Oreochromis niloticus: one gene and its partners. The protein of the gene in region 1 purifies or fractionates together with the protein of each later gene. This does not show direct contact. Links are inferred from orthologs where the notes say so. Each region holds a gene or a part of one and is shown on either strand. Other genes may lie near its edges.

Region 1 (7,233 bases):
TTTTAAGAGAGATCTTACCTCCACTACGGCTGCAGGAGCCTGCTCTGTCATGTAGTGGATAGCGTCCTGGTCTCCAAGCCAATCAGATCCCTTTACTGTGTCATAGAAATGCCACCTCCAGTCATCCTCCTCCATGTTCCCCAGAGCCGCATTAATCCCACCCTATTAGCCAGGGTAATATTAAACATTATGTGTGTTTACTTGATGGCCTTAAGATTAGTAAAACATTTGCAATGAGTTTGCTAATTACATGGAGACTTTGGTTCTAACTGACATACAAAATCATTTACTGTAACCACTGATTTACCTGTGCAGCGACAGTATGAGACCTGGTGGGGAACAGTTTGGTGACGCAGGCAGTGTTGAAGCCCGCCTCAGACAGGCCAAAAGCTGCCCTCAGTCCTGCTCCACCAGCTCCAACCACCACAGCATCAAACTCATGATCCACAACTGGGTATTGAGTGGAGATCTGAAACCAGTTGAAAAGACAATGTAGTGCAAACACGTTTGAAGCAATGAGAGTGTACTCTACGTATGTGGAGTTCTGGTTTGATGATTCATATCATATACATACTGTTCTGCATTAAAAAAAAAAACTTAATGTGGCTTACATCATCTGATACTTTGGCATTTTTCTTCTTGCCATAGATGGAAAAGTGAAAGTTCCTGGAACCTTGAACCGCAGCGGCAGGGACCTGGCAGAAGAAAAAGCAACTTAAATAAAACTAAAACTAAACCCAAACAAAAAACACACTGAAAAACCAGAATCTGCTAATAAACACAACAAAATGATTATTCAATGAAGTGAAGTTTTAAAGCTTCAGTCCTAACAGCACCTCCACAACCCATAATTCATATCATTAATATTTACAGCCATTCATCACTGAAAATGTTACCAGCATTTACACAGCCAATCTTGTCAGATGCATATGTATTTTAAACCTTCTGTAGTTCACCACTGACTTGAATCTAAAAGTATACAAACCTGCCAGTAGGAGGAACTAAAGCATCACTTTAACAGACACAACAATATTGTGCCCCATGTGCTTTATTGGGAACACTTAAACTTTCCTGACAAAATGTGAAGTAATTAACATAATTTTTGTGAGATATCCTTATTCACACATGATGAATAAACCATTTACACTAAGTGACTGAATTTCCCAAAAATCACTTTAGTGTAAACAACTTACACTAAGCTAAGAGACCATTAATCTTCATTGCCCATGACACAATGTATTTAAGACTATTCACATTTTTTATGCTTTAAATCTATAACAACTTATTCTTCACAGCACAGTGAAGAAGAGGTTTCCAATCCCACTGATGCAAATACAGACTCTCCATGTTGGAAAGGAGCTCATTATAGATTATAGAGAGGAGGGTCTTAAACACTAAAATGATAATATCATATAAATCACAGGTGATGATTTATTATCTAAATTATCATCTAGCATCTCTCAGATCAATTGACTGTCTGCTTGGCCAACAGATAACAGAGGAGGCCACTGAGACTATCCAATGGTCATCTTGAAGTGTGCTCATATACCGAGCATGATCCCCTGAGAAACTGTACTGTGGGTAAGTATAAGACTTGCTGCAAATTCAGAGTAAATAATACTACGCCTGGATAATCTCTGTTATTTCTGTCATTTTTGGATGTACTGGGGAATGCAGGTGATTTACAGGGTTTCTATCAGTAGAATCAAGTAGAAAGTATACAAATAAATGGCTGCAATAAATACAGATATCGCCTTCTTACATTAACCGAGTTGATTATCACTGTATTTTTAAATTTGCCAGAATAGGCTCCCCGTGAAAAAAAAAAAATGAATGGCATATGTTGGTGTAAAATAGTACAATATCTGAATTTAGAGGGTTACAAAAAAGAAGAAAAAAAAGACAATGACTCCTGGTGAACAATATATAATCTTTTTCTCTTTTTTTCTGTTTGGTGGCTTCCCTACCTGTGGGGCATCAACAATCAGATGTTTACAAGCAGCAGAAGGCAGCAGAAATGACTAACAGATTCATTTAATTTATGTGTAATTTATATTAATTTAACATTAGAAATAAAAAAAAGTACACATTAATGTTAAGCTGAACCTATAAGTTTAACGATCTGCATGAGAAGTGACAGGGAGGTTATAGTCTGATCACCTGTCAGTGGCTCCTGCCTTTGGAAAATGATCTGCTAAAATACAAGCAGCATACCAACCGAAAACATCTGCTATACCTGTGCCACGACATCAGCAGTGATTTATAATCGGGGGAAAAACTCCAGCACAAAACTTTCTGTTAACAGCCTTACAGCACCATGTTTAATAATGGCTGTGAAGGCATTTTCCAAAACAACCCATAGCAAAAAAAAAAAGCATTAATACGCACGACCATTTTTCACAGCGACCTTTGCTCTTGGCGGTTATTTTTCATAATGTCTGATGTCATTTTACATCTTCGTCGGTCTAAACCTGTCATATATCTGCAAATTGTCCCATTTTACTTTTGTAGCTAACAATAGCGGCTACTTACTGAGAACTGTTTTACACAAGGGCAGCGGCATTTACGACTTTCATGGTGACGGAACGTCTGGTTAGGCGGACAGTTCAGTCGCCATTAGAAACAATGTGTAATGTGAAGATAATAGAAGTGTAATAGATATAATATAAATATTTTGTTGGACCTGCAAAATAGCTTTTCTCATAGAGTCACATTGAAACAGCACCAGCTACATAACAGATTACGCAAGGCAGAATCCGCAGGTTATGAAAGCTTCGTTTTAGAAACAAAAAAGGGAAAATAAAATATTATCTTTTACAATATACTACATATTTAACTATTTAACTTTTAAAAGCATGTTTTTACTACTCACTGCTTTCGCAGTAGATAAAACCCTCTTGGAGAGGAGACGGGACGCCGCGCGGACACTCGCCATGTTGTCAGACGAAGGATCGTTCCTGCAGCGCTGCGGAGGAACACATATTTTGCCGGACTGGACTAAACCAATGTCCTAAAAGAGGGGTCGCTCATTTATTTAATATTTATATGATAGTTATTATTTAAAGCATTCAGCCATGTGTTTTAAGGGTAATTATTAAATTATTAGCTTGAAACCATCTGAGTAAATATACAGGGTTTTTTACTGCAACACTTACAGGAACTTTTTGTAAGCACTTTTTAAAATCACCCTCTGCCGGCTAAGATGGAACGTTAAAGCGTTAAAATTGTATAATCTGCGTGTGCAGGAACAAATGCATAAGTGACCTACACTTTTCATTCAAGGTGAGACACAGCTCCATACATTTAACAGGCGTACGCTGACACGTTGTCGGGATTGCAAAACTACGAAGCCCCTTCGTTCTGTTGTTTTTTTAAAATAAACACAATGACGAGCCACGGCGCCAAATGTTGGCTAGCATGTAGCACATAGCTAGCTTTGTTTGTGGTTAGCTGAGCTGTCAAACTTCCGAATCATGTGAGGCTGTTTTCGCCCTGTATGCCCGGTGCATTGTTTGGATTCATGCTAAAAAGCGATTTGTTAACGCACTTTCACATCCAGTGCTTATTCTAAACACTGTTTTGCAGGTTACACACCCTAGCAGATACATTGGCGTTTATTCACTGCTTTTTATTCAGCGAGTGGCAAATGATGCGATAGTTAATGCAGAGTAAATAATAGACGTGTCAAAGAAAAAAACACCACTGAGAATATATGCAACTCACAAATAAAAATTTAAAAAAGAGTCAATTGTTGGTGATGCTTTGGGCTGATCTCTCTTTGTGTTTGTTTGTGTGTGTGTGTGTGTGTAACAGCGGCCTCCATGAACAACTTGAATGATCCCCCAAGATGGAACATCCAACCAGATCCCAGAGGAAGGGGGGCGGGCGCAGGCGATGGCAACCAGTGGAACTACGCCCTGCTGGTCCCCATGCTGGGACTGGCTGCATTTCGTAAGTTACGCAAGGAGGTTTGCCGGTGTGACTGTGGATGAGACAACAGAGTAGAACAGCATATCAATTTCAAGAGTGGAAGGGAAGTCTTACAATATAGTATTGATGAATGTCATGACAGAGGAGGACGCTAAGGAGCAGAGATGGAGGCAAATGATCTGCTTTTTTGATCTGCTGTGGTGATCCTTAAAGGGAGCAGGCAAAGGAATATTATGATCAGTGAGTCCCCTGGCTTACAGACACACACAGTATACTGTAACTATTCACTGGCACAGTCTCTTTTGTCATTAGAATGCCAAACGGCATTTAATGATTAACACAGAAGTGGGGAAAAAAGTAGACTGAACTGCAGCTCAGTAAAAATTATTGCACTGAAAGGAGACTTTTTGACCATAGCAGGGTATTACCATTCCAGGTTAAGCACAGTAGAGGTTTCTTGCACAACTTTACCTACTTTAAAACAGGGGGGAAACACCTGCAACAGTTGTAATATACAGAACAACTTTTTGTTTTGTTGTTGTTGGTTTTTTTTATTGACAAGATGCACACAACTGCTTGTGTACTTGCCCAGCGTGCATCTGTTCTGATCTGTGTGTGATTGTATGATAGATCATCTCTGTTACTTAGATGAAGTCATTGCTGTGATTTTATAAAATTTGCAGTTCATAAGTAGCTCCAGCTACTCTACTCTTCAGAAAATCATGGCAGTATCACTTAACATCTTCCCCATTTTTTTTTTTTTTTTTTTTTTATCCCATTGCCCTTTCAGGATGGATCTGGACCAGAGAATCTCAGAGGGAGATCCAGAAGGTGAAAGCTCAGTATGACAAAGATGTGTCTACAATAAAAAGTGAGATGGAGGCCCGTTACCGGGAGACACTTACCGAGAGGCGCAGGGCAGCAGCTACGCTGGAGCTGGAGCTGGAGAAAGAGAGACAGCGGGTCAAAGGCTACAAGCAGGCCTTGGTCTCACAGAGCCAGCAGCTTATGGAAGAAAGGAAGCAGTTACAGCAGGTAAAGATCTGCTGAAGGGTTTATAAGGGATAACAGAGCTAATGAGTAGAAATCTATCTCAAGCCTTTGTTTTCTTCCATCTCAGTTACCTGCTACACATCTGTCTTTTGTTGTCCTCCTTTTACATTGAACATTGCACCCATTTTATCATTGTGTCATTTTCTTTTGTAATGCATAGCCTTTACTCACTAACCTTGAATTCTATCTTCTAACAAGGAGCGAGAGTCCTTAGAGGAAGAGAAGCAAAAGTTGGTGAAATCTGGAGCTGCAGGTGCTCTGCTGCATCAAGCTCTGGAAAAAGAGCAGAACTGGTACAACCGAGCCACAGTCACTCTGAAGGAGCTGGAGGGTTTACTTGTGGAGCGGCAGAACGCCTACTGCTCCCTCATCCAGCCTCGAGATCAGCGGCTGGAGATGGAGAAGAACATGCTGCTTAAGGTCGTTAAAGATCCCATTGGGGCAGACCTGGATCTAGAGACTGACCTGAAGGATATTTTTAAGAGAGACAAGCATTGTGCCGACCTGCTAAACATGGACAGGAGGAAGAACGGAAGCCTCATGTGGGTGTACCTCAAGTATTGGCAGCTGCAGATCACCGTCCAGAAACACAAAAGAGCCGAGGAAGCCATATTAGGAGGGAAAATCCACTCAGACACAAAGTGACAAATAGGCAACAATAAGCCGGTGTTTTGGTTTGACTTGAAGAATGTGGCGAGGGTGTGATTTAGAAATGGAAAATTCTTGTTTTTTATCCCCTCTGTGTAATAATCTTTACTTTGTAGGGATGTTATGCAAACACACAGGAGGTCAACGAGGTCTAACAAGGTGAGTCGCAACATCTGAAAACTCCATCCTTGATCACATTTTGATGTTGCACTAATATCGCTTATAGCAGTTCACCTCAGCTGCTCAGATAAGGATTTATTTCATTTAACTGAAGAAAAACAGAAATATTAGAAATATTATTCAGATGGTATCCATATTGGATACAAAAATGCATGGTTTATTAAATATAAAATGATACTTTACAATTTAGCCCCTTTAAAAATGTTGATTTAACGTCCATATTTTTTAATGCCATGAATTATTGTCAGTTAAGATTATATCTCGGAAGAAGAATTTTTTTTATTCGTTAGATAGGAATTCAGGGATGCCATAACACTCTATTAAATCTATTGTTATGTTTTTTGTGGATAATTTAAGTCTGTTGTTGAAGGAGTAATGTGGGAGATATTTATAAAGATAACTCTGGGACTTTCTGTTTTCAACAACCTCTCTGTTCATTGAGTTTCCTCCATTTAAATTCCGATCTCATGATCGAGCACAGCTCGTAGAACAGGGAGGATGTTTCTGATGACTGGTTTGTGGGTACCTCACTACTGTCAGGGACGCTGGACTTAACCGAAGTTGCATGTATGCATAAGTGCTAAATAGTGTAATGTGTTGCAAAAACAAAAAGTAAAATCAAGAAAAGCACATTTAATTTCTTACTGTAACACACATACACACATGCAATGAAAGGATTTACTAAATCCGTAGCATTTTTCTTTGGTTATCAGGCCTCTCTGTGCTGCCATGTTTTCATTTTGACCTTGAGGATTAAGTGCTGGATGCTAAACTGACACTTATAACTCTGTGTGATCATTTGAATAAATTTGTTTTTGTTTAGAACTCAGTTTGCAGGTTGTCCTTTTTTTCCATAGAGACTGATTTTTTGGGGGGGAGGGGCTTCAAGGAGCGGCTTCATCTGGATTTAGATACAGGAAAGATATACTTTAATCCGTTGGCTATGTGGCGGCTCATACTGCATGATTAAAAAGGTGCATGCATGAGGAATATGTAAAAACAACTGACACAAGAATATTGATTGAGGTTTGTGAAATAAGCTTCCAGAAAGTGTTTAATTAAGCTTTACAAACCATAGAAACCACCAACTGTGACAAAATTGCATTTTCCTCCTGGGACAAATTTATAGTTCACATCAGGCTCGATTCTACAGCACCCAGAGCTTTTATGCAAATTATAGCACATCTTTTTTTTTTTTAGAATTATTTAGTTGCTGAAGATATGACACTACTACAAATATCAGTAAAGCATGTGAGATAACATCCTCGAGCATAAAAATAGTACTTCTAAAATAGTCAATTTTAGAAGAATATTTGATTTTGTTAATACCACTGAGAAATCTACTACAACAAAGGCTGTGATCACTCCCTTCTCTGAACCCGATCAGAGGTTTCCCTGGGAGAGGACATCAGACTCGAGGCC
Region 2 (7,936 bases), on another chromosome or scaffold:
TTCCTTCCAAGGGGGCAAAGGGATCTCAATCAGGTCAACCTTGGTGTCTTCGGGAGAGTCCCCGCGGTAACCACGAGACGACACCAGCCCTGTGATTGCTGGTCTCCAAGCAGCCTGGCACATCCCGGTTACCAGCTGATGGGACAAGCACACATTAAAAGACAGGTAAAATAATCCACTGTGGCTTCTGAAAATGCTGAGTCAGTACATCAGATTATTGTAGTTACTAACAAATATTGTCTTTGGGCAAGATTGTGGTAGCAATTATTATCTAAAAGCTAATACAGGCATTAGATCTACATGTTAAACTGCCAGTACAGCTTTAGTAAGTTCAAGTTGCATGAGGAACAATTTAGAGACTGTGTTCAGCTGTTTGTATTTTTCAGCTGACGTTGCGTCACTGATAATTGTGAGTGATGCTGAGACTAAATATTCTTAAGTATTTTATGTTCAGGTATCAGCATCCAACTTTATTTACCATTTTCTCATTTTATGATCTAGATCTGTTTAATTTAAATTGGCTTTCAGTCTTCCAATTTAAGTGTTATTGTTTCAAATATTTCATTATTCATTTTATTTATATTTTTACATAGTAGTGTTAGGCATTATAATACAAACACAATATCCTTCATTTACTCACAGGTAGACACATCACAATAAACATGTTCCATGCTTCCTTGTGCTTTTTGACAAATACGAACAAAATGACTAAAAAAAAGATCATCCCACATTTCTTTATCTATTGCTAGTTTAGTGGGAAAGGTGTGCAGTTATTTATGAAAATATGTGGAAATATACATTAAAATACAGGATATAAAAAAATAGAACTAGTACAGTTCTAACAAACCTGGAGGTCAAAACTTGGTAGGACCACCTATATTCATTAGCAGAGCCTGCAGTGTTGAAGAATGACTGATGGTGTTTGTTAGGTCTAATTGTTGAATGTTGCCATTGTGTTTCTTAAATTTGTACAGTCTTAGTTCAAGCAGTATTATCAAAGCTATTCCTTTGATCCTGAGCACCTCTAACCACTTTGTGTTGGGGGAGGTTTTATAGCAGATACATCCTATCTGGAAGATCTACTTCCTTTGATGTAAGCTTCCTGCGTTTACGACCCTTTGGTCAGCAGGAGGACACACACACACACACACACCTGCATGCATATACATACAGTGCCTTGTCTTTGTAACCAAAGGGGGTTGCGAGGGGAGGTGTTTTGTAAACTATTGTTTGAAGTTTGTCAATAAAAGCCAGCGAGAGGAGGCCCTCATCGGGGTCACTTCCATGCTGGACATAGACGAGGCCTCCCTTGCGCAAGTAATCGATCGATCGCTGACTGTCTTGTTTTCATTCATGATGAATAAGTCTCTAGAATTAGCGGGGTTTGTGGGAACAGACCCAACAGTGTTCAGTGAGTATGTGTGTGTGTTTGTTTTAATCAGCTATGCTTATACTGCACTGACAATGTGTTTGGGTTCATTGTCATGATGAAAAATTAAGCTGCCGTCAATCAGACACTTTCCAGATGTTCAATCTTTAAAAAGTTTTTGAGTTTTTAAGGCACTTTATGAGGGGGGGTTGTCCTGGGGGTTATTCAATCCAACTAACTATTCATCAAAGCCTGAAAAATACACAATCAAAATTACGTGGGGAATCACAGTCTGACAGTTCTTTTCTGCTTTCATAATTCCATCAGTTTTGACAAGATCTCCAACACCACTGGCTGAAATGCAGCCCCAGACATGGCATAAGACCTGTTGCCGCCGATCTTCAGTTCAGTCCTTGTGTAACTTGGCAAACTTCAGCCTTTTCTCACGTTTTCCCTTCTTTAACGATGGCTTCTTGACAGCCACCCTTCCACATTCCTGATGAGGCTTCAGTGAATAGTAAATGTGTCAACTGAAGGACCGGATGCATCTCCTGAATCGGGTCTTTGCTGGATTTTTTTCCTGCTTTTCTTAAGGACAGAACTTTCAGACACTGTTCACCTGTTGCGTTTTTTTTTGTTTTGTTTTTTTTTTACCTTTTAGAATTTGCTCAAATTTTGTTTTTAAGGATACACTTGATATCACACTGAGATATGTTAAGTTTTCAGCTAAAAGCTCTCTAGAAATCAACTTGTCATTAGAAAAATACAATTTTATGCCTGTCAAACTGTACTTTCATCAGTTTAACTGAAGAAATAGGACCAAATTATGCGTTTTTGCGTCGGGCTCCTTGATTTAGGTGTATATTTTATGCTTGAATGAATGGTAAGTAAGTATTAAGCGGCTTAGGAAAACAGGTAAAAAGACTGGAGTGAAAATGAGTGGGGTGGGGAATGTTTAAAAAAAAAAAAATGGAAAGACTTCCAAAAAGCTTGGAGAACTATTCCTGACGTCTTCTGACTCTATGGAAGCAAATTATAAAGAAGTGAGGGTTGGTTCAAGGCTTTTTGCACAGTATAGTATATACCAATGCAAATCATATAATATAAAACGTTTCTTTCTCCCCAGTTTCAGTTTTCGCTTTTAGTTATTTATAATAATATTATAATAATAACTATGATGGCTTGGAATCCTAAACATTTGCTGCTAAACTAAAAGACAGAAAGCAGAGGGGAATTGCATAATCTGAGACTCTCGATGCACTGTTGTACAACTGCCCTCCAAGAGGACAACCTCTCTGCATCAGAGCTACATCAACCCTGACAATAATAATGCTACACCATCAGGAAACACTGAACAGTTTGTTTAATACTATTAAGTCTGTTACTGCGTCCTATTATTGAACATTAAACGTACTAGACAGATTTATTAACGCTAAAAATGTTTAGAATTGAACGGCGAGCTCTGACGTTACGACGGCCACGGATTCAGATTTCAAGCAACAAACACACAAATTATTAATTACTCGCTAGCTCACCCTTTTCGCGACAATAGAAGACAACATTTTAACCCAACTTCTTCTAAGGTCCACAAATTTGACGAAGCTCCGTCTCCCCCGTCGAAATGTTTCTGCTGTCTGACAGAAATTACACAAGTACGGTCACAGGAAACTACCGGAGGGAGGGCTGTACACAGCCCACACGTGTCTGTGTTTAACTGCGGGAAAACGCAGCTGGCGTCACAGGTGGACCTTTAGAGGTTATATAGTTAATCTGTGTATTATTATTTTTTTCTTACTCAAAGACAAATGCATTAGCTAAATACATGCTTGACCCTATACCAAAAAGTAAACCAATTTGACTACAGGAACAAAAAGTCGATTGTTGTTTTCAGCCGGTGAATATGTCAGCTGCACCAATTGCCAGAGTAGCAACATTAGCTTTAGCTGAGCAGAAAACGAATGAGAAGTAAACTGGTCGCGCGTGCTAATGTGTATGAAATACCTTGTATGTTTTTGAAAGTTTTCATCAAAATTCAGTTTTCTTATAATTTATTTCCGCAGACTGTATTTTCGGTTTGTCACACTCAGTTTTAGCCACAGTATGCTTATTTTAACAAGTCCAGCGGAACAATAACGTTAGCTAACAAAATAAGGAAAAGAGAAATTTTTGAATTCTAAAAGTGCATCTTTTGTGTTAACTTCTAAGGTGTGCATGTGCGAGCTGCACTTAAAACAAATAATAATTACTAGCTGGATTGCAAGTAATTAATTATCTTCGGCCCACGGGATGGCTGCTGCAGGACCACAACCTGCAACTGGACCAAGCATCGATAACAAGGATATAGATCTATATAGTGACCTGAATCAAAACGATGAGGTGAGTCTGACATTAAAATCAATGCAAAAAAAAAGTCAGTGTATGAAACGATCGCACATAATGTTTAATGAAACTTAAGATGCAGTAGGCACAGAATAAGCAATCAGTCAAAATAAAACTGGGGTACTTATCTTAATAGAAGGAAGGTGCCACATCCTTTAATTTTTTTTAATTTTACGTTATCTAATACTGGAATATATGTTAGCAAGTTTTTGAGCTACTTAACACTCACCTATGACATGAAAAAATACTTAACTAAAAGGATGAAACTTAAAGAACCGATTTGGAATAGTTTCTTTGGGCTTTAGTTGTATATTTTAGTATATTTCTTTAGTTAAATATTTTTTAAAAGACAAAATTAACAGAGTTTGTGTGTTGAAAAGTAAAGGTGGTCATATGCAGCATTGACAAGACTTTTGCCCAGTACTGTAATTATTCTTTTTCTATACTTCACAGGATTTGGATAGAATTGCAGAAGCAAATGAACTTTTTGATGCCGTGCTAACCGGTTCTGTTAATCAAGACAAGAATGTAGCTACCAAGGAGTCCTTACGTAAGGAGACATCAGCTAAAGAAGAGGATAAATCAACAGCAGCAAATACCCCAAAAGGAGCAAACTATCTAAGGAGACTTTCTGTATATGTTGGGCATTTCCCATGGGTGAGTTGAGTTTTGCATTACCAATACATTTTCATCCATTATAGAAACACTGTTAATACCAAAACATTACTGGAAAAATAAATAATAATCTGATTTTAGGTTCTTTATATAATGCCAAGACAGATAGCACACTATACCATGCTTGCCATTTGTTTACACAGTTGGCATTACTTTAGTATGTTATCAGTTTTTGTGACGATATTAAATATTCCAGTACAGCAAATGGCTACATAGATACAGTAGATGATCTGTTATACCTATAAAGCTGAATGACTTTCCCCCTACCAGTTTTTTTTTCTTTTTTACAAACCTTCTCATCCTTGCAGTGGGTAACTGACAAGGACCTAATATCTATGGCCAAAGGGTTGGGTGTGAAGAACATCACAGACATCAAGTTTGCTGAGGACAGAAGTAATGGTGTGTCAAGAGGGTGAGTATTGTGTAAAATATAGAGAAACCTTTACAAAATAAAGCATTTTTGTATTTTCTTTTAAATTTTATCTCCTACTCTGTGATGCAGCTTTGCAGAAGTGGTGATAACGTCAGACGAGTCACTAAAACTAATGTTGGAAAAAGCACCACAGTGTAAAATCAACGGGGAAAGGATAGACTGTCGCTATGCCACTTGTCAGAACCTTGCTTTTTTTGAAGAAGAAGCAAACAAACGTAAGGGGAAGACGACTCTGAAAACCCCCCACTGATATTTAGTTTGTATTACTAAATGTCAGGATAACTATCATTTTTCATGGAGATGTATTTTGTTTTTGGTTTTTTCAGGTGTACCCTTGCGAGCTAACAAAGAAACCAAGGAATCTGAGTCGTCAGATGAGATTCTCTCAGTATTATTAGCACAGAAGACCACCCCGTCTGCTATACCGCCACTTTTTCCATCACATCCACTTGCCAACAGCTTTCCTCCATTACCCGGCCCTTCTTTTGGTCATCCACCTCCCCTGTTTCCACATATGCCACAAACAATCGCTCCGCTCATGGCAACCCCGCTGTTCCCTCCTCATCCAGTCCCTGTCCCAAGCCACCCGCCTCTTGGTATGCATCCCACATACTTCAGCCCAGCACAGGATGGGCACAGCAGCAAAGCTTACAGCCAACAAAAGTGAGAACACATTATTTAATTTTTATAGCCACTGACACACTAAAGGCATTTACAGAGAGATGAGATTAAACCTCCAGTGGAAAGTGAACCAATGAGCAGGATACAGAGAGGCATAAATGAGAATAGAGATTACTTATGACTAGAAGTTACAAAAAAGAAAAGAAAACATTAAAACAATAGTTACTTTTACTAATAACTGTATATTTTACAGAAACACACCTAAAAGTTCCGATCGAGATTTGGAGGAGCTTATGAATAGAAACAGAACCATTGCCAGCAGTGCCATCACAAAAGCTGTGAGTGGTGCAACAGCTGGTAAGTATACATTCATATGGGATACAGTTTTTTATGCTTATTATCTATGATTAACAGACAGTTGGAGAAACACTCAAAATGTAAAGTTGTTCAACACAACTTGCACTTGAATTAAGAAGCACACACATATCATAGTATATTTTTGTCTTAGATATAATTTGAATACATTTTTTTACTAGTGATAAAAAACTAAATACTATGTTGTGTACATAAGTCATTACAGACTTTATTCATTATTTGAAAGGCTCTGAAAATGCTGTTTTAATGCTAATCAGTCTGATCTCTGCAACAAAAAGTACTGTGTATGTTAAAGCATTGAGCCACCCATCATTGTGTGCGGTTTGTTTTGTTTTTTTGTTGTTGGTTTTTTTTTTACAATGTTATCCTTCTAGTGCATTAAAAATTGAAGCCTTTACCTGTTGGATGCTTTCCAGATGGTATTGCATGGTGGATCAAAATCTGATGATACTCATAATTCCATCAGCACTGATTAAAATCCCGACACCTCTGGCAGAAATGAAGCCCCAAATCATGATGGAGCCTCCACCATGTTTTACAGATGGCTGTAGACACTGTGTTCTAGTTCTTTGGTAGATTATTCCTATTTCTTAAGGACATGACTTTTTATAGATAGTTTTTTTTTGGGGGGGGGCTGCCAGTTATTTTTTTTTTTGTTCTCCACTTGTTCAGTTTATTGAAAATACTGCAGTTGCAAAAATTACAAGAAAGACTGGCTCCTTTGAAGAAAAATACAAAGAATAACGAGCGACTCAAGAATTTAGCATATTTGTGGCAAAATAAGAAGAAAATTAAATTAAAAATCTGGAAATAATCATCTTTATTATCAGGACTGTTTGGTTGTGGTTTAATCAGATTTGATTGTCAGTGCTCTTACAACACAACGGGTGTCTTCGGGGCCTTTAGGTTTTTGGTTATGGTTTTTCTAGCTTTGCACACTTTTAATTTCTACTTTCTTCATACATTTTGTTACTTCCTCTAGGTGTATCAGAGTGAAATAAGAGCCTTTCTTAGTTCTAACAATTTCTACTGGAGTTTAAGATGAAGCTTCGGCTGGCACATTTAACAACATGCAGAGATTTATCCCAAAGCCCTCTCAGCCTTGTGTTGGCTGCGTGCTCTGGGTCTCTGTATACACATAGGTGAATCATCACCTCAGGCCAGGTTTTATGTCTTCTCACTCAACAAGCCTCCCTGCTGCTTCTGTTCCGAGATACTTTCCTATCTTTAATGTATTTTGTAGTAACTGTCGCCCATTTTCAAAAACTTTTTATTAAACCTAACCCTAGGAACTTTAAAGTGCTTCGTTACTAAAAAACAAATGCTTCTAATATCTCCTAAATTTCTACATCAGGAGACCTGCAGGTGGCCATGGAAACGCTATTAACTGCCATTGCCATCATTAAGCAGTCCAGAGTGTATGGAGATGAGCGATGCCAGACGCTGGTCACGTCACTCAAGGATTGTCTAGTCTCTATCCAGGGCAACTATGGCTACAGGTTTGTATAACTGCCTATCAAAACGCTATCGTTGTTGTCCGTATATGAACGTATATATACGCATGTATATGAACTAATACTGAGGTTGGACCTAGCATTAGATTTCTTACTTTGTTACAAAACCATATTTCCTTTCAGTGAACAAAGTCGCTCTGGAGAAAGAGACCGGGACAGAAGTCGGGACAGAGAGCGAGAGCGGGACAGAGACAGGGAATGGAGCCGTGACCGAGACCGTGAAAGAGACCTGAAACGGAGTCGAGAGCGTAATAGAGACCGGGAACGGAGTCGTGGCAGAGAGCGTGATAGAGACTGGGACAGGAGTCGTGACAGAGAGCGTGATAGGGACTATTCTTCTGTTTGTGAAGGTGCAGGAATGTCTCGAAGACACCTGGAGCGTTCCTGGAGTGGAGAAAGGGAAAAGGCGTATTCACGGGAACGGGAAAGACACAGAGATCACAGAGACAGGTACCACTAATTAGGTAAGTTTTTCACTAATATTAATTTGTACACTACAATTATATTTTACCATCAGTCGGTTTCACGTTTTTGGAATATCTACTATTTTTCCAGTAAACATTTTGACTT
Region 3 (8,086 bases), on another chromosome or scaffold:
GTTCTTGGGCTGTTATGGATTTTACGGTAGAAAAGTGAAAGTTATGGAGGGTAATGCTGAGGTATGTCAGTCGACCCTGGGGAAAAGTCTACCCCGCTTTTCTTCCGGAGTAAAATATGTTTGCTGTGTCATAATCTTTCCAAACTCTCTGGGAGAAATGAGGATAAAAGGAAGGTCTTGGACTCATGCATATGCATTGCCGTGACATTGTGAACTCTAAGGGTTAGCACAGAAAATGATGAGTAATTATGTTTGCCGTCTGTCATATCAAAAGATGTGCTGAGCACAGGGTGGCAATGACCCAATCCCACCCTTTCACTTTCTCTCTTGTCCGATCTCTGTCATTCTCAGCTCTCCGTAGCATCTTCCTTGCCTATTTTAATTTCCCTGTCAGGCAGTCTGCTTTCTGTCTGTTTGGCTAAGCTACAAGATTCCTTGCTTGTTGACTCAGCAGTTAAGTGCATTAATTCCCCATTTCTCTCACTACTTTGGCATTCTGTCGGGTAGAAAACAAAACTCTCCTCTGGCTAGTCAAAGCCACATGATTCTATACATAAACATAGTATAAAACAGCCTTTAAAACACTAGTTTTTACTGAGATCACCGCTCTGTTACAAGCCTACTTTTGGAACTTGTATGCATAGATACACCCTTACTCTTAAATGCACCGCCTGGACTTTTGGCCTCACTGCATACATATATACATTTATTCAGCGAGGTCACACTTAGTAAGTTGGTGCTTGTCCATTTCTACTTTGTGTGAATGGAGACTGAATAAAATGAACACACTGATCTGCATTCAGTCCAAAAAATAAAGGGTCATTGAAGTGTCCAGGTTCTATGTCAGCGTGACACTGACAGACAGCCAAGCAAACCTTCTGGATGCTTTTAGTTTCATCTTTCTCTTCTGTGTGATCTGCTATGCTGTCCAACCAGTCACGTTAATGAGAGGGGCAAAGTGTTGCTGTCATGGCCTCATTGACGTTTGAAGAGGGTCCTGTAGTCAGAATCACTGTGGAGAATTCTCTTTTGAGCTCACATGCGGGAAGTGTGGTTAACAGACAGGTCAGAGAAAAGCAGCGACACACAGAGAGGAGGGGGCAGAGAAAGCCGAAACAAGGAGACACTGGAAGAACAACAAAGGGCAAGAAAGGACTCAAAGTAGCACGGTCAGTGCAAACAGAGAAAGAGAGAGAGGCACCTGAGACACGAATTAAAAAGAAAAAGATGGCAGAGGAGCAGAGATTGACAGTGTGGTCCAGACTCTGGGCATGCTCAGTGTGTCAGCTCCTCGCCTGATCACTGCAGGTTGTTAGCCAACCACCCCTCTGCTATTTTGGTGACTGAAGCATATGGGCTAACCGCACAGCCTGTTGGGAACTGTGAGTCTTCATCCCTGGTATTTTCATGGCTTTCAACTTATTGAGTGGAAACTGACAATGGATAATTGAGTGAAACCACAAATTAGTTGCCCTGCCTGCACACTTACTCATGTTGCTCCGGGGAGAATAAAAAGGGAGGGGGGGGAAAAGAAAGATAAGATAAGATCACATATGTTATGTATCTGAAATGAACACAAGCTGCTTTAGTCAGAGTGTTTTGTGCTATAAAACATTCAGCCATTTTCTTCCATTTATCCAAATCAGAGTAAGTGGAAGGGAAAAAGATGAGGTACACGGTGGGCTAATCTTTCACAGGGCTAATACCTAGTGTTAATTTAGAGTGACTAGTTATCCTAAAGCCACTAATTGCATGTCTTTGGACTGTGGGAGAAAGCTAGAGTACTCAGAGAGAACCCACACAGACACGGGGGAGAACATGCAAGCTCCACACCGAAGGGCCCCAGACCTTCTTGCTGTGAGGTAACAGTGCAACACACATCCTACCTCACGATTCACCTGAATCCTAGTGAAACATTTTAAGAATTTTATGTGTGATTAAAATGTTTTTTTTTTTATTAACTTTTGTTTTAGTCAAAGAAAGGAGGCACAAACAGCAAATACCCTTCTCTTCTAGTGCAAGTAAAAAGTATCACCGACTTAAAAATCAGCACGTACTTCTGGTTGTGTATTCATATATGAAGATATCGTTGAACTTTGTGAACTGCCCATTGAAGACAAATTCAATTTGTGTTAGAAAGTTTAGGTAGTTTTGAAAAGAATACAAAGCAACAATAGCTGCTTTGTATTCTGGGATTAAAATGACATGATTGCTCCGAGTGCAGACAAAAACACAGTTTTTGTTCTGAGCGACAGGACAACATCTGAAATGAAAAAAAAAAAGTTGAATTGTATTAGTTAGGGCCATTGATATTCTGACAGTCCTGTCGGAATATCAGTTCCTTGGAGAGAAGAAAATGTCCCTGGTGAGAGAGAGCGAAAAAAAGAAACAAAATGCTTTAAAATGCTCAAGCGAATCATCTTTTAGTCATTCTGCTTGGCTCCCACTCTCAGTGATTTTGTTTTTTTTAATACTGAAGTTACACATGCCACTCTTCACTGACACAAAGACACTGGGTGGACTTTTTATACATTCGGTAGGATTTGTTGACACACCCAGATATTATGCTGGTGCAGCAATTTTCACTTCATTTGTGCACTTACTGTGCTAAGGTTTTTTTTTTTTTTTAAAAAAGCCAGCAACCACAGAATATTTTCAGTGTGTGAAATATGGATCACTGACTTCCAGAAAGCTCTCACCCACAAGCTGGGGGAGGTTAAGAGCAAAAAAAAAAAATCAAATAAACATGAGGCAAATTCTCTCCCCGTTGACATTAAAGTGGCTCACGTTTGCAAATTTTTCTTCTTTCAAAGTTTTTCAGGGGTTTATCATTTCATCTTACATATTGACCATTAAAGGTCTCCAGAAAAAAAAAAAAAAAGATCCTTTGGTTGTAGCTGTTCATCATCATCTCCTCCCCTCTGTCATGTCCTCTCTAGCCTGCTGACACTGATGGTTTCTAAGTGAGTATCTCATCCAACTCTCCCTCTCTCTCTCTCTCCTCCTGTCATAATCACTGCTCTTTATGATCGGTTTGCCCTCTCTGCCCTTTCAAGATGCGGCGTGTAATGAGGGCTCTGGAGAACTATGTGAGTGGGCTATTTAGCTATTCAGACAAGATCAGCTCACACATCCCACGCTCTCTCTCGCTCGACTCCCTACCAATACCTTTCAGCTGAGTGCAGTGATTGTTTGTCCTGCTCGCAAGGTCACACTGTGGATGGAGCCGGAGCAGCTCCTGCATTCAACATCCATGACGGGCCTTTTAGTGTTTGCTCACCACATGGAAATTGAATGATTAAAATGGGCGATTTAAATATTCAATTCAACACTACTGTCAAATTATTTTGTAGAGCTTAATAGCTGCAAAGGCAACATAAAGGGTCAGTTTTCTCAAATTAAAATAATAATTATAACATAAAAGACATATTTCCTCCCACCAAAATCTGTGCACAGCGTATGAATCCATCATATTTTACACCAGCAGCAGCTTTTTTTTTTTTTTTTTTGCAATACTGCCAGAACTCATTAACCTTGATTTTCAAGTACTGCTTGTACATGCTGTTTGCAGACACATTAATAAGCAGCAAATAATATTATTTCTGTTAAGGCCAAAAAAAACTTGAAACTTACTCTGCAACCTTCCCCACCCACTAGATAAACAAATTATGTCTATGAGTGCTTATAGATGAACGTGTACAAATTCTTCCTGCAATTCATGTCCAGTCTGCTTGTGTGGGTTTCCTCTCACAGTGCAAAGCCAAGCATGTTACATTAATTGTGTTGATCCCCAGTTAAGAAAATGAATGGATGCATTTCCAGCAATGAGACTGAAACTAATACACACACACATCCTCCTCAACAATCCAAGCACTCAACCTCAAAAGAACAACAAAGACTGTATGCACTACCTTATCCAAGTCAGCACATTATAAATCCAAGTTACACATATGCAGTAAAGATGTATAGTTTGTTTGTGCCCTTTTCTTATGTCCTTTGATTCTTAACATTAGTGGAAAAATTAACTTGTATAGCTGTTTTTAATAATATGGTTTATAATGGTTTTCAGTTGTGGTTGTTTGTTACACATTAGTAACATAACTATTTTAAATCATAATAAAAGTGGTAAATTAGACCAGATCTTAAAAGTCAGTCTAAGATTCAAAACTCATTATATTAGAAAAAAATGAAAAAAACCTGCATGTGTAACATGAGTTTAATAGTAGAATCTAAACTCCTCTTCAGTTGGTTAAAACCCACAAATTCCAAGAGATATTCTGAGGACAGAAACTCACACTCTAACATTTATTACTTCTGTAACGTGTAAGGGAGAAAATGATGATTAAAGCCTAATAACAACAACTTTTACCATTTTTGGTTTTACCCCACATACTGCTCAGTTACAGTATTTGGTCTAATGCTCAGATGAGCATTAAGACCTCAGTAAGATCTAGTGTGCACAAAACAGAGTTCCCCATCTTGTGCAGTGTCCATTGAAGGACAGGATGCATACCAGGCTGGACACGTCTTCCTGTTAGAAGGGAGTTTTTCCTTCCCACTGTCACCAAGTGCTTGCTCATAGAGGGTCATCTGATTGTTGGGGTTTTCTCTGTGTTATAATTGGGTCCTAACTTTACAATATAAAGCACCTTGAAGCAACTGTTGTTGTGATGTAAATATGATGATGATGTAAATAAAACTGAATTGAACTGAAAGTAGAAAACTAGTCTAATACATTTTAGCTTTAACGTTTTATTCTTTACCCTTTTCTGGATGTTATCACAAATTAATTTTAGAATTAAAATGTATGTCAGGGGGATAGATCAGTATGCAGTGCAGGCAGGATTTGACTTTAGACTGATAAAAACTGCTACGTTGTTAGATTTTTAGTCTGCTCTGTTCTCACCTCTGTCCCTGTAGTTTAGACTAAGCGCCAACAATGTCCATGCCTGCTAAACATGCACACCTGACTCCACGGTGTGTATGCGTCTTTTAGAAGCACCGCCCACCTCTGATTCTTGACCTATGATCGCTCACGCGCTTCTAGCGTCATCTCCCTTTGGACTTGCGTGTCAACATGGCGGCTTCCATGGCATCCCAGGCTGTAGCGAAAGGACTCAGGATAGCTACTTCAAAGCACATACTTCTCGACAAAGCGAAGGTAGCGTTACAGCTTCTCTTGCTGATGTTACGGTCTGCTGCTCGGGCGGGGTGGCTTCGTCGCTGTCAGCGTCTCACGGCTAGGGTTAGCGTTAGCAGGTTAGCATGTGTGAGCGGACAGAGGTTTGACAGATCAAAGTTAAACAGTCTGACAGTTCACAGGTGACGTAACAATGCCGTCTTCAAGTCCTGCAGTAGGTCTAATCATGGAGGCTGTTATATATACGCGCTGCTCTACAAATGATAGTTAATCGGCAAGAGCTTGTGTGAGGAAAGCTTTTCTAATGCAGTTCTGCATGTGAATGTTACTCGTGTACACTACCTGTCACTATAACTGTGAGTCTGTAAGTTTGTGCGTTTAAGATATTTTTAATTTCTCTTTATTGCGTATAATTGAACTGCAAGGGTCTTCTCGTCAGTAAGTTATTTTGCATGCTTAGGTTCAGCACTTCTACAGTGGGCTGTGTGACCTCTGATGAGTAAAAGTCATAGTGAACAATTCCTCCAGCCTGGCTCCATTTCAGATAAGACCCGAGTAAAAAAAGGTTAACCCTTGCACTTTGAGCTTCCAGCATGTGTGTGTGAGCTGGAAACAGCAGCCAGCAGAATTCGCCTGATTAGAGTTGTCTAAGTACACAGTGGCAAATGCTTACAGTTGCACAGTTTCTCATTTAGCAAACAAAGCATTTGGTCTGGTAATTGCAAAGAGTCTTAAACATGCTGCCAGAGCTACAAAACATAAATCCCCACACCCCCTGCACTGTATTGACTAACAAACAAACCCAGTCACACAGAGCTGTGCTTTCATAATAAATTTCAAAGCTCCAGGACAAACAGATGAATAAATTACCATGTTATGCTGTACTGTCAGTTTGATGCTTTTCTGCGCAGTCGGTATCTGAGAACTGGTCTTTCAGGTTGAGGTGCCTGCATAGGTATTTGGAACATTAGTACAAATGGGACTTCTCATGCTGTGTTTACCTTTCATATTTACTCCCAGATGGATTCATATTGATGGAAACGTATTGTTTTTACAAGTCAAACAGATTTTATGTGCAGTGTGGTAGAGTATTTTTTATAGGTATTATACCTGGAGGAAAGGTGATTGACTGAAAAATAATTGTGCTTCATGCAGATCGAAAAGAAAATATGTAAATTGAACTTTTTCTTTTATCCAAATTTGTCCACATTAGCTTGGTAAATTCCTAATGCTAAAGCTATTAGAGATAATTACATGCTACATCTCAGTATCAGGACTCATTATTATTGCTTTTTAGCTTTAATATTATCAGTTATTACAAACTATTGTCAGAAATACATGTTTTGTTTTGTTTTTTTATGTCATGTGTTAATCTAGTTGCTTCTTTCTCTGCAACCATTCCAAAAGTATAGAGAGGCCCACATTTTACTACACATTTTATAAACGTATATCTATGCATCAGGCCTTTTTTTTTTCCCCCATGTGGCTGCTGCACATAGCTACAGTAGCTGTGCATTATTTTCTGAGTCCTTCCAAAATGTGGGCAACCTACAGCGTACCTTGCCAGAACATCTTGGATTGGATGCTGCTTTGATAATTTGCTGCTCACACGGTGCCTTCTATTTAGCCACATGTCTGTTTTTTTTTGGTTTTTTTTTTTAATTTAATTTAATTTTGTTTTGTTTTTTCATAATTGAAAACCTTTGGTTAATATTATTACCTAAATCAAAAAAAATGTCCCAACCAAGGCAACAAATTGCATGAAACATTTCCATTATTTTTTTTCTCATTTTCCACCTACACATTCCTTAGAGCAGGGAATGGGAGTCCCTGTAAAGGCTGCTATTGTTATATTTTTTTCCTCTAGCATTAGTTCATTAATTTTTTTTTTTTTAAATTTGTACTATAGGATTACTAAGTCTGCTATTATTATATGTCAAATATATGTGTTTTTTATTTATATATTTAAAAAAATTATTTTTTATCCATCTAAGAAAACGACTAAGTTTGCTAGTGGACAACTCCTTCACTCTTATTTTGAAAGGTCATTTGGTGCTTAAAATCTGGCCTTTCCAACTTCTGTTTTTTCAACTGGCTATCTTGCTAGCCGGGGGTGAAAAAAGAAATGTATTTCTTTTTTAGCACTTACAGCAACAACTATATGAAATATCTCTGAAATTGTTGAACCTGCATCAATAACCAACATATCTGCATAAGGTAAAATTTAGATATGTCAGTGGAGGCCAGAGACCTGGCCTGAACTGTTCCTTTAAAAAGTAAACTCTAACAAAAGTTTTTATCTCATGTTTACTGGCTCTTTACCTGCTCGTCTTCTGCTTCTTTCACTTCTTTCGCTTCTGTCTCTCTCTCGTTCGGGCCAGGTGATAAGAGTAATGATCGGGGATTTTCTCTGGTGTGTAGCACAGTATCAGGGCCTGAACAGATTGACAGTCAGGTATCGCTACAATAGAATCAAATCAGCTTTGACAGTATGTCAACTAAGCTGTGGAATTCAATTTGCAATGATTTGTCAACAACAATGCACAGGACATTGCAATATTCAGATGGTTAGGCTCCAAGATACTCCTTAAAGGAGGAGTGAGATGTTGTTGTTATTTTTTTTTTCTCTCTCACACTCTCTCTCTCTCATAAATCAAATCTCCTGAATTCTTGTCTGCACACCGAGATAATCCTCGGGCTGTTTTTCACTGTCGCTGCACAGGGATGAATTTGTAAACCTTTGCTAAGTTTTTTTTTTTGTATGGCGTGCGTGCTTGGTAATACCCCAACTGTGTTGAAGCCCAGCGTGGTTTGAAGGGGTACACTGGGAAGAAAGGTGTCTCAATGAGACTCAGTCCTGAATATTTTACAGAACAGGGTGGAGAGCCCTCTGCTTGCAACGACTTCTTTTGCTGGAACTTCAAACGACGGGAGGCTCCCCCATCT

Evidence for each region.
Region 2: the proteins of sdha (region 1) and sdhaf2 purify together in Homo sapiens (co-immunoprecipitation; 3 studies listed by BioGRID and IntAct, counting the BioPlex papers as one, with this or other methods). This does not show direct contact. The link is inferred for Oreochromis niloticus from reciprocal best matches to the Homo sapiens genes SDHA and SDHAF2.
Region 3: the proteins of sdha (region 1) and suclg2 fractionate together in Homo sapiens (co-fractionation; 3 studies listed by BioGRID, with this or other methods). This does not show direct contact. The link is inferred for Oreochromis niloticus from reciprocal best matches to the Homo sapiens genes SDHA and SUCLG2.

The regions. Positions count from the first base shown.
Region 1 is NC_031976.2:12,123,623-12,130,855, forward strand, and holds the start of sdha (succinate dehydrogenase [ubiquinone] flavoprotein subunit, mitochondrial), read right to left. Parts: upstream 3,003-7,233; 5' UTR 2,936-3,002; coding exon 2,873-2,935; intron 696-2,872; coding exon 612-695; intron 470-611; coding exon 308-469; intron 163-307; coding exon 19-162; intron 1-18. Other genes in the region: coiled-coil domain-containing protein 127, read left to right, coding at 3,822-3,951, 4,721-4,965, 5,182-5,628. UniProt on the Homo sapiens protein: Flavoprotein (FP) subunit of succinate dehydrogenase (SDH) that is involved in complex II of the mitochondrial electron transport chain and is responsible for transferring electrons from succinate to ubiquinone (coenzyme Q).
Region 2 is NC_031965.2:19,331,851-19,339,786, forward strand, and holds the start of sdhaf2 (succinate dehydrogenase assembly factor 2, mitochondrial), read right to left. Parts: upstream 3,044-7,936; 5' UTR 2,932-3,043; coding exon 2,905-2,931; intron 136-2,904; coding exon 1-135. Other genes in the region: cleavage and polyadenylation specificity factor subunit 7, read left to right, coding at 3,656-3,745, 4,202-4,405, 4,732-4,835, 4,926-5,071, 5,183-5,519, 5,731-5,834, 7,207-7,351, 7,490-7,816.
Region 3 is NC_031970.2:29,603,161-29,611,246, reverse strand, and holds the start of suclg2 (succinate--CoA ligase [GDP-forming] subunit beta, mitochondrial), read left to right. Parts: upstream 1-5,004; 5' UTR 5,005-5,077; coding exon 5,078-5,161; intron 5,162-8,086. UniProt on the Homo sapiens protein: GTP-specific succinyl-CoA synthetase functions in the citric acid cycle (TCA), coupling the hydrolysis of succinyl-CoA to the synthesis of GTP and thus represents the only step of substrate-level phosphorylation in the TCA.